Linked DNA regions of Drosophila melanogaster. The protein of the gene in region 1 interacts with the protein of each later gene in a pairwise test. Each region holds a gene or a part of one and is shown on either strand. Other genes may lie near its edges.

What was found. Proteins that work in one complex are often made in the same cells at the same time.
Region 2: the proteins of CSN6 (region 1) and Hsp60B interact in a two-hybrid assay, tested with the Drosophila melanogaster proteins (one large-scale study listed by BioGRID).

The regions. Positions count from the first base shown.
Region 1 is NT_033777.3:22,578,552-22,582,827, reverse strand, and holds CSN6 (COP9 signalosome subunit 6), read right to left. Parts: upstream 2,056-4,276; 5' UTR 1,934-2,055; coding exon 1,553-1,933; intron 1,495-1,552; coding exon 850-1,494; 3' UTR 795-849; downstream 1-794. Other genes in the region: Dph5 (diphthamide methyltransferase), read left to right, coding at 1-623; CG33110 (uncharacterized protein), read right to left, coding at 3,112-3,393. UniProt on the Drosophila melanogaster protein: Component of the COP9 signalosome complex (CSN), a complex involved in various cellular and developmental processes.
Region 2 is NT_033779.5:726,854-731,341, reverse strand, and holds Hsp60B (heat shock protein 60B), read right to left. Parts: upstream 2,981-4,488; 5' UTR 2,835-2,980; coding exon 888-2,834; 3' UTR 778-887; downstream 1-777. UniProt on the Drosophila melanogaster protein: Prevents misfolding and promotes the refolding and proper assembly of unfolded polypeptides generated under stress conditions.

The sequences.
Region 1 (4,276 bases):
CCGATGTTGCGCTGCTCGTGGTGGGCGACCCCTTTGGCGCCACCACCCACACAGACTTCATACTGCGCGCCAAGGAGAAGAACATCCCCTACAAGGTCATCCACAATGCATCGATCATGAACGCCGTCGGCTGCTGCGGCCTGCAATTGTACAAATTCGGCGAGACCGTTTCGATTCCGTACTGGGACGAGACATGGAAGCCGGACAGCTTCTACGACAAGATCAAGCTGAATCGCCTGCACAACATGCACACGCTGTGCCTGCTGGACATCAAGGTGAAGGAGCCCACGCCGGAGTCCTTGATGCGCAAACGCAAGGAGTACATGCCACCGCGTTTCATGACCGTGGCGGAGGCGGCTCATCAGTTGCTGTCCATTGTGGAGAAGAAGGACTCGCTGGAGAAGAACACAGTGCTCAACGAGCAGTCACTGTGCGTTGGACTGGCCCGTGTTGGCCAGGAGTCGCAGCAGATTGCCGTTGGCACGCTGCTTGAGATGCGCTCGACCGATTTGGGCGGACCGCTGCACTCGCTCATCATTCCCGCCAAGGAGATGCATCCGCTGGAGGTGGAGTTCTTGCAGCAGTATGCCCCCAGCATCAAGCTGGACGACTACAACCACTAATTCCGCTGCGAAATTACCTAATTTAGTGTCTAGGAAATGTTGTCTGTGCATCTGAATTGAATTTACGAAGCAAGAGGAGCTGGAAGCTCAGGAAGAAAGTGATATCGCTTGATGCCACCCGTATACGTATGTAGCCTGCCCAGCGGCAGCTGAAATAAAACCGCATTCACCCATCGTACGATTATGTGTATTTATCTCCGAAGCTTTAATAGATTGTTTGCATATATCAATAGTAGAGACCTCGCATGCGGCGCGCGGATCCCTGGCGGTCGTACAGCATATTAAACTTGTTCACAAAGTGGTGCATATCATTGCAGCCCTTGGTCAGCGTGCCCAGGTAGCTAATCAGTCCCACATCGTTGCACTGCGTGTAGAATTCCTCCTGGAAGGCGGGCACCTGCATGACGGGCAGTCGGTGGCAGAGAGCGTAGGCTTCTCGCAGAATCTCTTGGTTGGCCCGCAGCTTTCCGGCCTCCACATCGCGTATGTACTGCAGCACGATCTTGATGCGTGTATTTAGCATCTTAATGGCACTGTCCTGGGCCACCAAATGCTCCGCCACCACGCTCTTCTCGCCGGACTCGTTCGAGGTCATGCGCGCCACATGATCCACACCAATGCGCTCCGCCTCCTCGGTGGCCAGTGTGTAGGTGAGGGGCACGAACAGCATGGTGGCCTCGCCGTCCACCAGATCGATTAGGGACTCGAATAGCTTCAGGGGAAGGTGGTCGACGCTGCGGGAGAGCGGATTCAGCTGTAGCATGATGGGGCACTCGTTGATGGCGGCTATCTGTCTTTGGATCTTAATGTCATCGGCAGTGGGATTGTCGCCGGTTGTGTACCAGCCTATGAAGTCGAGATCACTGAACACCTGGGGAAAAAAGAGTAACAGCTGGTAAAGCAGCGTATGTAGAGGCTTGGACACCCACCTGCTTGTACTGTTGTTCCTTCTTGTTGTAGTAGTCCTTGTTGATCACTGTTTCATCGCCAATAACGTCCGTCTTCAGTTCGAACGAGTTCATAATCTCAATGTTGCGGCCCTTCTGCTTGCCAATCAGTGCTCCGTACACCTGTCGCGGCTCACCGTGCTGTGCACGAAAGCGTGTCCAGTGCTCGGAGATGTTCATTATGACCAGCGGATGCAGCGATATGGTCACAGAACCACTGGTGCCCGCTGCAGCCATTATGTTTCCCTGCGGCTGTGGGTTTTGATCCGCAGTCTTATCCACTGCCATACTGCTCCCGGCGGCGGCGGAGGACGATGTGCTGGGCTTGGCCGACATGTCAACGTCCACTTCCATTTGCTCCATGCTGTCGGGGGGCCTTTATTTACACGTAGTTTGCGGTATAAACTTAATTTTACTTCTTTTTGTTTGACAAGCTCCGGTATAAGCTGTCGTTATCGTTATTGGTGGTCTCTCAGTAGTACGATATTACTTATCGCTATCTATCGGGACAGCAGAATGGTGTGACCACACCTTATGCAGTCTAAGCAGTGGCGCGAACCTTTTTAAACTGAACGTCGGCGTTGCCGGCTCGATTATAGTATTAGCGAGTACTATATTTGAATTTATGTTTTGTAATTCCTGTTAGCTTAATTATGCGCCAAATTAACCATATATATTTCTATTAAAGCATTTTTAGTCAATTCGGTTACATATATTTTTAATATGCACTAGATTCGTTTGTGGAAGTTTCTAAAATTGATATGTTTCTAAAATTTATTTATCTCTTTCGCACCGAAAGACCCTGCCAATATACAGCTCAGTTTTTTCCGCTGTGAATTTAGAACATATTGAAACCCAGTTGGTTGGTTTTCGGTTTTATTTTATTTATCTTTTCTTCGTTTTTATTTGTCTTGGCTTTTAATTTCGTGCTCGCCGTATTTGTTCGTGCGAATTTTGTAAGTTAGACTAGTTGGCTTAGGACTACAAATATTTAACATTTAACAGGCTATTTACAAATCGTCTATACACAATTACAATTACAATAATCACTTAGCCTAAGGGAATTAAAGACTAAACGCGTTTCGTTCGTGAGGTTCTAGAATTAGGCGACTTACACATTAGGCAGATCTCGAAAATTGACCCAGTTTGTTGTACGGTTCTACACATGCGAATGCAGCCACAGATGGCGAGAATGCGATGCGATGCGAAGCGAAGCAATCAAGCGAAGCTGGCGAGGGGATAATCGCCAAGTTATAATTGATGTTGCGCATACGCCCCGTGTTCCCCATGCTCGATCGATCGATCATCGGAAGGCGGACTTCCTCTTCTTCGTTCTCTTCTGTGGTTGTGTGTGTGTGTGCGTGCACGCTCGTGTATTTATGGCTCTTAAGCTTAGCTTAGCGTTAGTTGAAACCTTTGTACCAAAACTACTTCCGTTCCGTCCGTTGCCATCACCAATCTGGTCCGTTTATGTAAAATTTGTTCCCCCCAATGTTGGGCAATCCCTGGAAGCACTTTTCTCACTGCTTTCGATTTTCAATTCAGTTGGCTTTCAGCTTTTGCGCCAGCATCGCCGTGTTATTGTTGCTGTCCGCCTTGCAGGGCGTGGCATCCAGTTGCTGCTGTTGCTTCTGCTGTTGCTGCTGCTGCTGCAGTTGCTGCGCCGCCTTGGTCTTCCTGTAGCTCTGCATGTAGAAGTTCATGAAGAGGCAGAAGAAAATGGATGCATTCAATAGGAGCAGCGCAGAGATGAACTTGGAGAACTGGCACTGGTTGCTGAAGAGGGCGCGGAGGGTGTGGAAGATGCACAGCACGAACTGGGCCTAAAAAAAAAGGGAAAAATAATATGAATTTTACAGAGATCATATACTCATTATACCCTAGTTATAGTAGGTTGCACAGCTAGACCTTGTTTTCTAATTGTTGATGTAATTTTTATCGTGCGTCCAAGCAGATTAACGTTGTCTTGTCTAATCACACATATTAAGAATAAGGTTGTGGGAACCATATGGCAAACAGACTTGTTACGCTTGAATTCTGGGAAAGTTCCGAAGAGAGAGCACACGCCTCCTTCGAGCGGCTTGCTCGCAATCAAAGCTCAACTTGACCCACCTCTTTATGGTCATTGGCGCTGTCGAAGGGCATTGAGTGGAGCTTGTCTCGTTACGGAAGTTGTAACGTCATTCAATTAGCCAGTTCCCTAACTGCCGAGTCATAACTTATACTTTTTGCAGTCCGGGTTACAGCTCTTTGAATGCTGCTAATAAAACGGCTGGCAGTGGAGCACCCTTGAGCTGGGCGGGCAATCAAAAAGCACTCAGTGCGGCTACAATGTGCGCACATTGATTGGAATTAGCCGGAGTGTCAGTGTGATATGAGGCTATTAACTAGCTGCTGACTAGCTATGCTTAGCCCAGTCCAACAAGCTGGCTCCGATTGGCCCCTGTGCGACCCCTTGGCGCGTGTTATGGGCTTTTATAGTTACCGATAATGTTTGATCATAAGATAATCTAATGGCACCCACACCCACTGCATGCTAAAGAGTTGACGACAAGATTCTAGCCTTTTAATCGTACAAGCACTCAGAAGCCAAAGAATGTCAATGAGCTAGTTGCTTAGTCTAAAATTCCAGTAAACGTAACTAGATTCAAGAACGGCGAAGTGAGCCATAGGAATAATATGTATAAATTAAATGGAATGCCGAAG
Region 2 (4,488 bases), on another chromosome or scaffold:
AAAAAGAAGGAAAAACAAAAACAAGACTTGCCTGCACATGCAGATTGGCCAAGAGCGATAGCGATAGCCTTTTTATTTGCCTTTCGTCTGTTTTTGGTTTTTGGCTCAGAGTTTTCCGACTTGCCGAATGGAGTTGTTGCTGTGCCTTGGCGATGGTGCCCAATATGTTTGCCAGATGAACAATTTCCTTTTCGACGCGAAACGACCAGACCAAGCCACCTGACTAGGACCGATTCGCGAGGTCCAAGAGGCTGTGGCTTTTCCCTGGCCCACGCTCGATGCTCGATGGGTCCGTCCACCATTTTCGGTTCGTTTGCGGGCCTCGATGAAAAATTTGCAAATTGGAATTACTTATTTATTGATGCATGTTTGATGTGACGCTCTTGTGGAGGCTCCCAGCCTCAGGCCCCCCTTCTTGCGCACTCACTCTCATGTAACGAATCGCTTTTTTAGCTGCGGGCCACAAATGAAATCTGCAAACACAAACCATGCAAAGTACGGGGGAAAAAACCGAGGGTCGGCTCACATGTGTGAGAAATTGCTGTTTGTTTTATGCAAATGATCATCGCATTGCAGCTGGATTCGCTCTGCCGGTCGCCGTTCCAAATTTTCGGCTGCAATTAAAAACCGAAAGTGTGAAGGAAGTGTAGCTTTTTGCAGACCAGCATAATGAACCGGTTGAAAGATATTTGGCCAGAAAACTGCTGGTGTAGGGAAAAGGCCAATAATTCACTTTCTCAAGTCATTTGGAAGGGTTCCCGACTGTTTTATACAATTCGTTTTCGATTGTCAATTTATATTTTAGATGAACACATAAAATTTAGACACTCAACAGATATTTGAACTATAGAAACGATTTGAGCTGGAGCGGATAACGGAAGCGGGTTCTACATCATCCCACTGTCAATGTCACGCACCTCTACTTGCTCCATGCCGGGAATAGCCTTGACCATTTCATTCATCTCCTCGGCAGTGGGACCGTCATTGCTGGCAGAAGCGCTCATTCCGCCACCAGCGCCCATTCCGCCGAATCCACCTCCCATTCCTCCCATACCTCCCATACCACCCATGCCTCCCATACCACCCATGCCACCCAATCCACTTAAGGCTGCCAGCTCCTCTAAGCCACCCATGTTCATGTCCAGTCCATCATCCATTCCGCCGCCAGCTCCTGACAACTTGGACAAAAGATCATCGTTCCGGGAGTCGGTGATAACCACCTCGGTGGTGCTCAGAAGAGAGGCCACTCCAGCTGCATCCGTGATGGCGGTCCGCAGCACCTTTGTGGGATCAATAATGCCCTTCTCGACCAGCCGACAGTACTCATCGCCCATGGCATCGTAGCCGTAGTCTTCCGAGCCATTCAACACCTTGGCCACCACCATTGGGCCATCAACTCCGGCGTTTTGAGCTATGGTCTGGCAAGGCATCCTCAGGGCATTGCAGACGATATCGACGCCCTTCTGGAGATCTGCACTCTCCGTTTTGAGTTCCTGGAGGTAGGGAATGCAGCGCAAAAAGGCCGTACCGCCACCTGGGACAATTCCCTCTTCGATGGCCGCTCGAGTGGCATTCAAGGCGTCCACCACACGGTCCTTTTTCTCATTCACCTCAACTTCACTGCCTCCACCAATGTGCAGCACTGCCACGCCCTTCGTGAGGGCGGAGAGGCGTTGGCGCAGACGATCCCGCTGCTCTGGCTTGATTTGCTTTTCCGCCAGTTCATCTTGAATTTGCTGGATGCGCATTTCCAAAAGTCCTGTCTTGGGTTTGCCCTGCAGGAGCATGGTGCTGTCCTTGCTAATCACAGCCTCGCCAACCTGACCCAGATCCTCCAGCTTAGCCTCCTCCATTTTGGAATAGTTGATGTCATCGCCGAAAATAGTTGCTCCCGTGGCAGCGGATATATCGCCTATAAGCTCCTTGCGGTGGTGTCCATAGCTGGGCGATTTGACGGCGCACACCTGGAGGCCCAACCTGAGCTTGTTCAGGACCAAAGCATTGAGGGCTTCCCCGCTGATGTCCTCGGCTATGATGATCAGGGGACGACGCTGCCTCAGGGATTGCTCCAGACCTTTAACTATTTGCGAGAGTCCAGTGATCTTCTTCAGGGATATCATTACAAGGGCGTTGGCAAACTCCACCTTGGACCCCTTGGAGCTGTTTACGAAAAAGGGCGACACATAGCCGTTGTCGAAGCGCAGGCCCTGGATAATATTTAGCTCGTCCTTCAGGCGCTTGCCATCCTTTACAGTAATAGTTCCTCTTGGACCCACTTTGTCGGTGGCCTCACCAATGAGCCGCCCAATTTCAGTATCCCCGTTCGCGGAGAGGGTGGCTACTTGTTGGATCTCCTCACGCGTTTCCACTGCCTTGGACATTTCCTTCAGCTTGTCCTTTACGACGTCAACAGCTAACATGACACCTCGACGAATCTCCACGGGATTAGCCCCCATGGTAATCTGATTGAATCCTTCCTTGGCAATCGCTCGAGCCAAAACTGTTGCTGTGGTCGTGCCGTCACCCGCCGACTCATTCGTATTATCGGCCACATCCTGGACCAACTTGGCGCCCAGATTCATGTGCTGGTCCTTTAGGGCAATCGAGCGCGCGACCGTGAAGCCGTCCTTGGTGATCTTCGGCGAGGTCCATGGTCGCTCCACGATCACACTGCGACCCTTGGGCCCCATGGTCACAGCAACGGCATCAGCCAGAATATCAACGCCCCGGATCATCATTGCCCGTACTCCGGAGCCAAAGCGCACGTCCTTCGAGTACATCCGCGCGAAACAGCGACTAGAGGTAATCGCCTTGGGCACACACGACCGAAACATTTTGCACTTAAGTTTGAAACTATAATAAAAAAAAAACTTTCAAAACTTTTGGTTCTAATATTTTTTCGTTTGATCTCAGACACGAAGTGAGTGCAACTAATATGTAGGTTGTTGACTCGATACTGACGGACTAGACGGACTCGTTCAAGGCCTACTCCCATATTCAAATCCAAATTTTGTTTCCATTATCTTTAAGCTTCTCGTTTTATGTAACATGTGCAAGCCATTCTTCTTTATTTATATTGCTTTTCCTTGAGCACTTTTCTCTTTTTTCTTTTTTCTCTTTGCGGACAAGTTTCCAGGCAATCGCCAGATTTCACAACATTCATTTGTCTGGCGCCTGCCCGTCTGCGATCTGCGGCTCTGAAATCTTCGACAACAGAAGCCGTGCCTTCTGTTTGCCGGAATAAATTAGCGTGCAGCTAATAAGCCCCGACATTCTGGGTGGAGTCTGCCCATTTGCAGTTCTATTCGCCTCCATCGGCTGAGGCTGACCCACAAACAAGACCAGCGTGTGCAGATTTCCCAGAACTGCGGTGCGACTGTTCTGCACCGGAGGATGGATGCATTTTCCTCGGCTGACCGTTCCCATTTCGAAGGCAGCTGTCAAAAATTGTGTGCTGCCTACTGCAAACTAAAGAAATTCACACATTTTGCTGCAAGCCAAACGGCAAATGGAAATGGAAATGGGGAGTTTGAGGCGGAGATGGAAATGGAGATGGGATGAAAATGTTGGGTGCACAGCGCGCAAGAAGGCATTACTTTCGCACGATGAATTGCACTTAGGTATGAATGTTTAGAAATAGGTTTGCATATAAATTCAATGCGATTTATATGAGCTATCTCTCGTATTCTATACGTATAAAATAATGTCACATTTAGTTCAGTAGGTATAACTTTTTTCTGTGTGCCGCAGACGGGAATTGGAACTGGGGTCGGAATCGGGATCCGTTTCCTGGCCGCTTGACGCGTTGATTGCCATGTGCAAGCGGTAGCACAGTAGCCGGGTTTTGTGTCAAAAGCACGTCACCGATTTGAAGGGGAAGGGCGGAGGAGCTGATTGATGAGGCATTTGCATGTTCGACGACTCTTCTTCCTCTCGCAACCTTTCTCCCCATCTGCGCCAACTCTGCGACATGTGAAAGTGTCCATGGTGGGAAGACCACCTGGTGGGCTGTGCGATAATCGTAACTACAAGCGATCTGCAGGGTCTCTTGTCGGCTACAAATTACTTTCGCTGGATAGCGAATAAGCCTCAATCTATGATTAATTGCAGGCCATCTTCGGGGATTCTCCAATTCATTTCAGTATTTTTGGTGGGCCAAAATTAACCCACTGACCGTTGGCTGATGATTTCCTATTGGTTTTGGCAGATTTTTTGCCGGCTCTGTCATTACCCGCGGATGGATCCGTGGATCGAGCAGATGAAGTCGTTCGGGTAATTGTGGAGCAGACAGCAAAGAAAGTTTTAATGAGAAATGGATAGACTGCAGACGATAGACTGGCAGTTCAATCTGAGCATTTGCGTAAGTACCAGGCAGACGAAATTCCTGGATCTGGGATCTGGGGCAGCCAAGTGCAGATTGAGCTGATGGGAGCGATCTATCGATGAACTGCACTAAAATAAATAATTTGGTGGTCGTCATAGCAAATT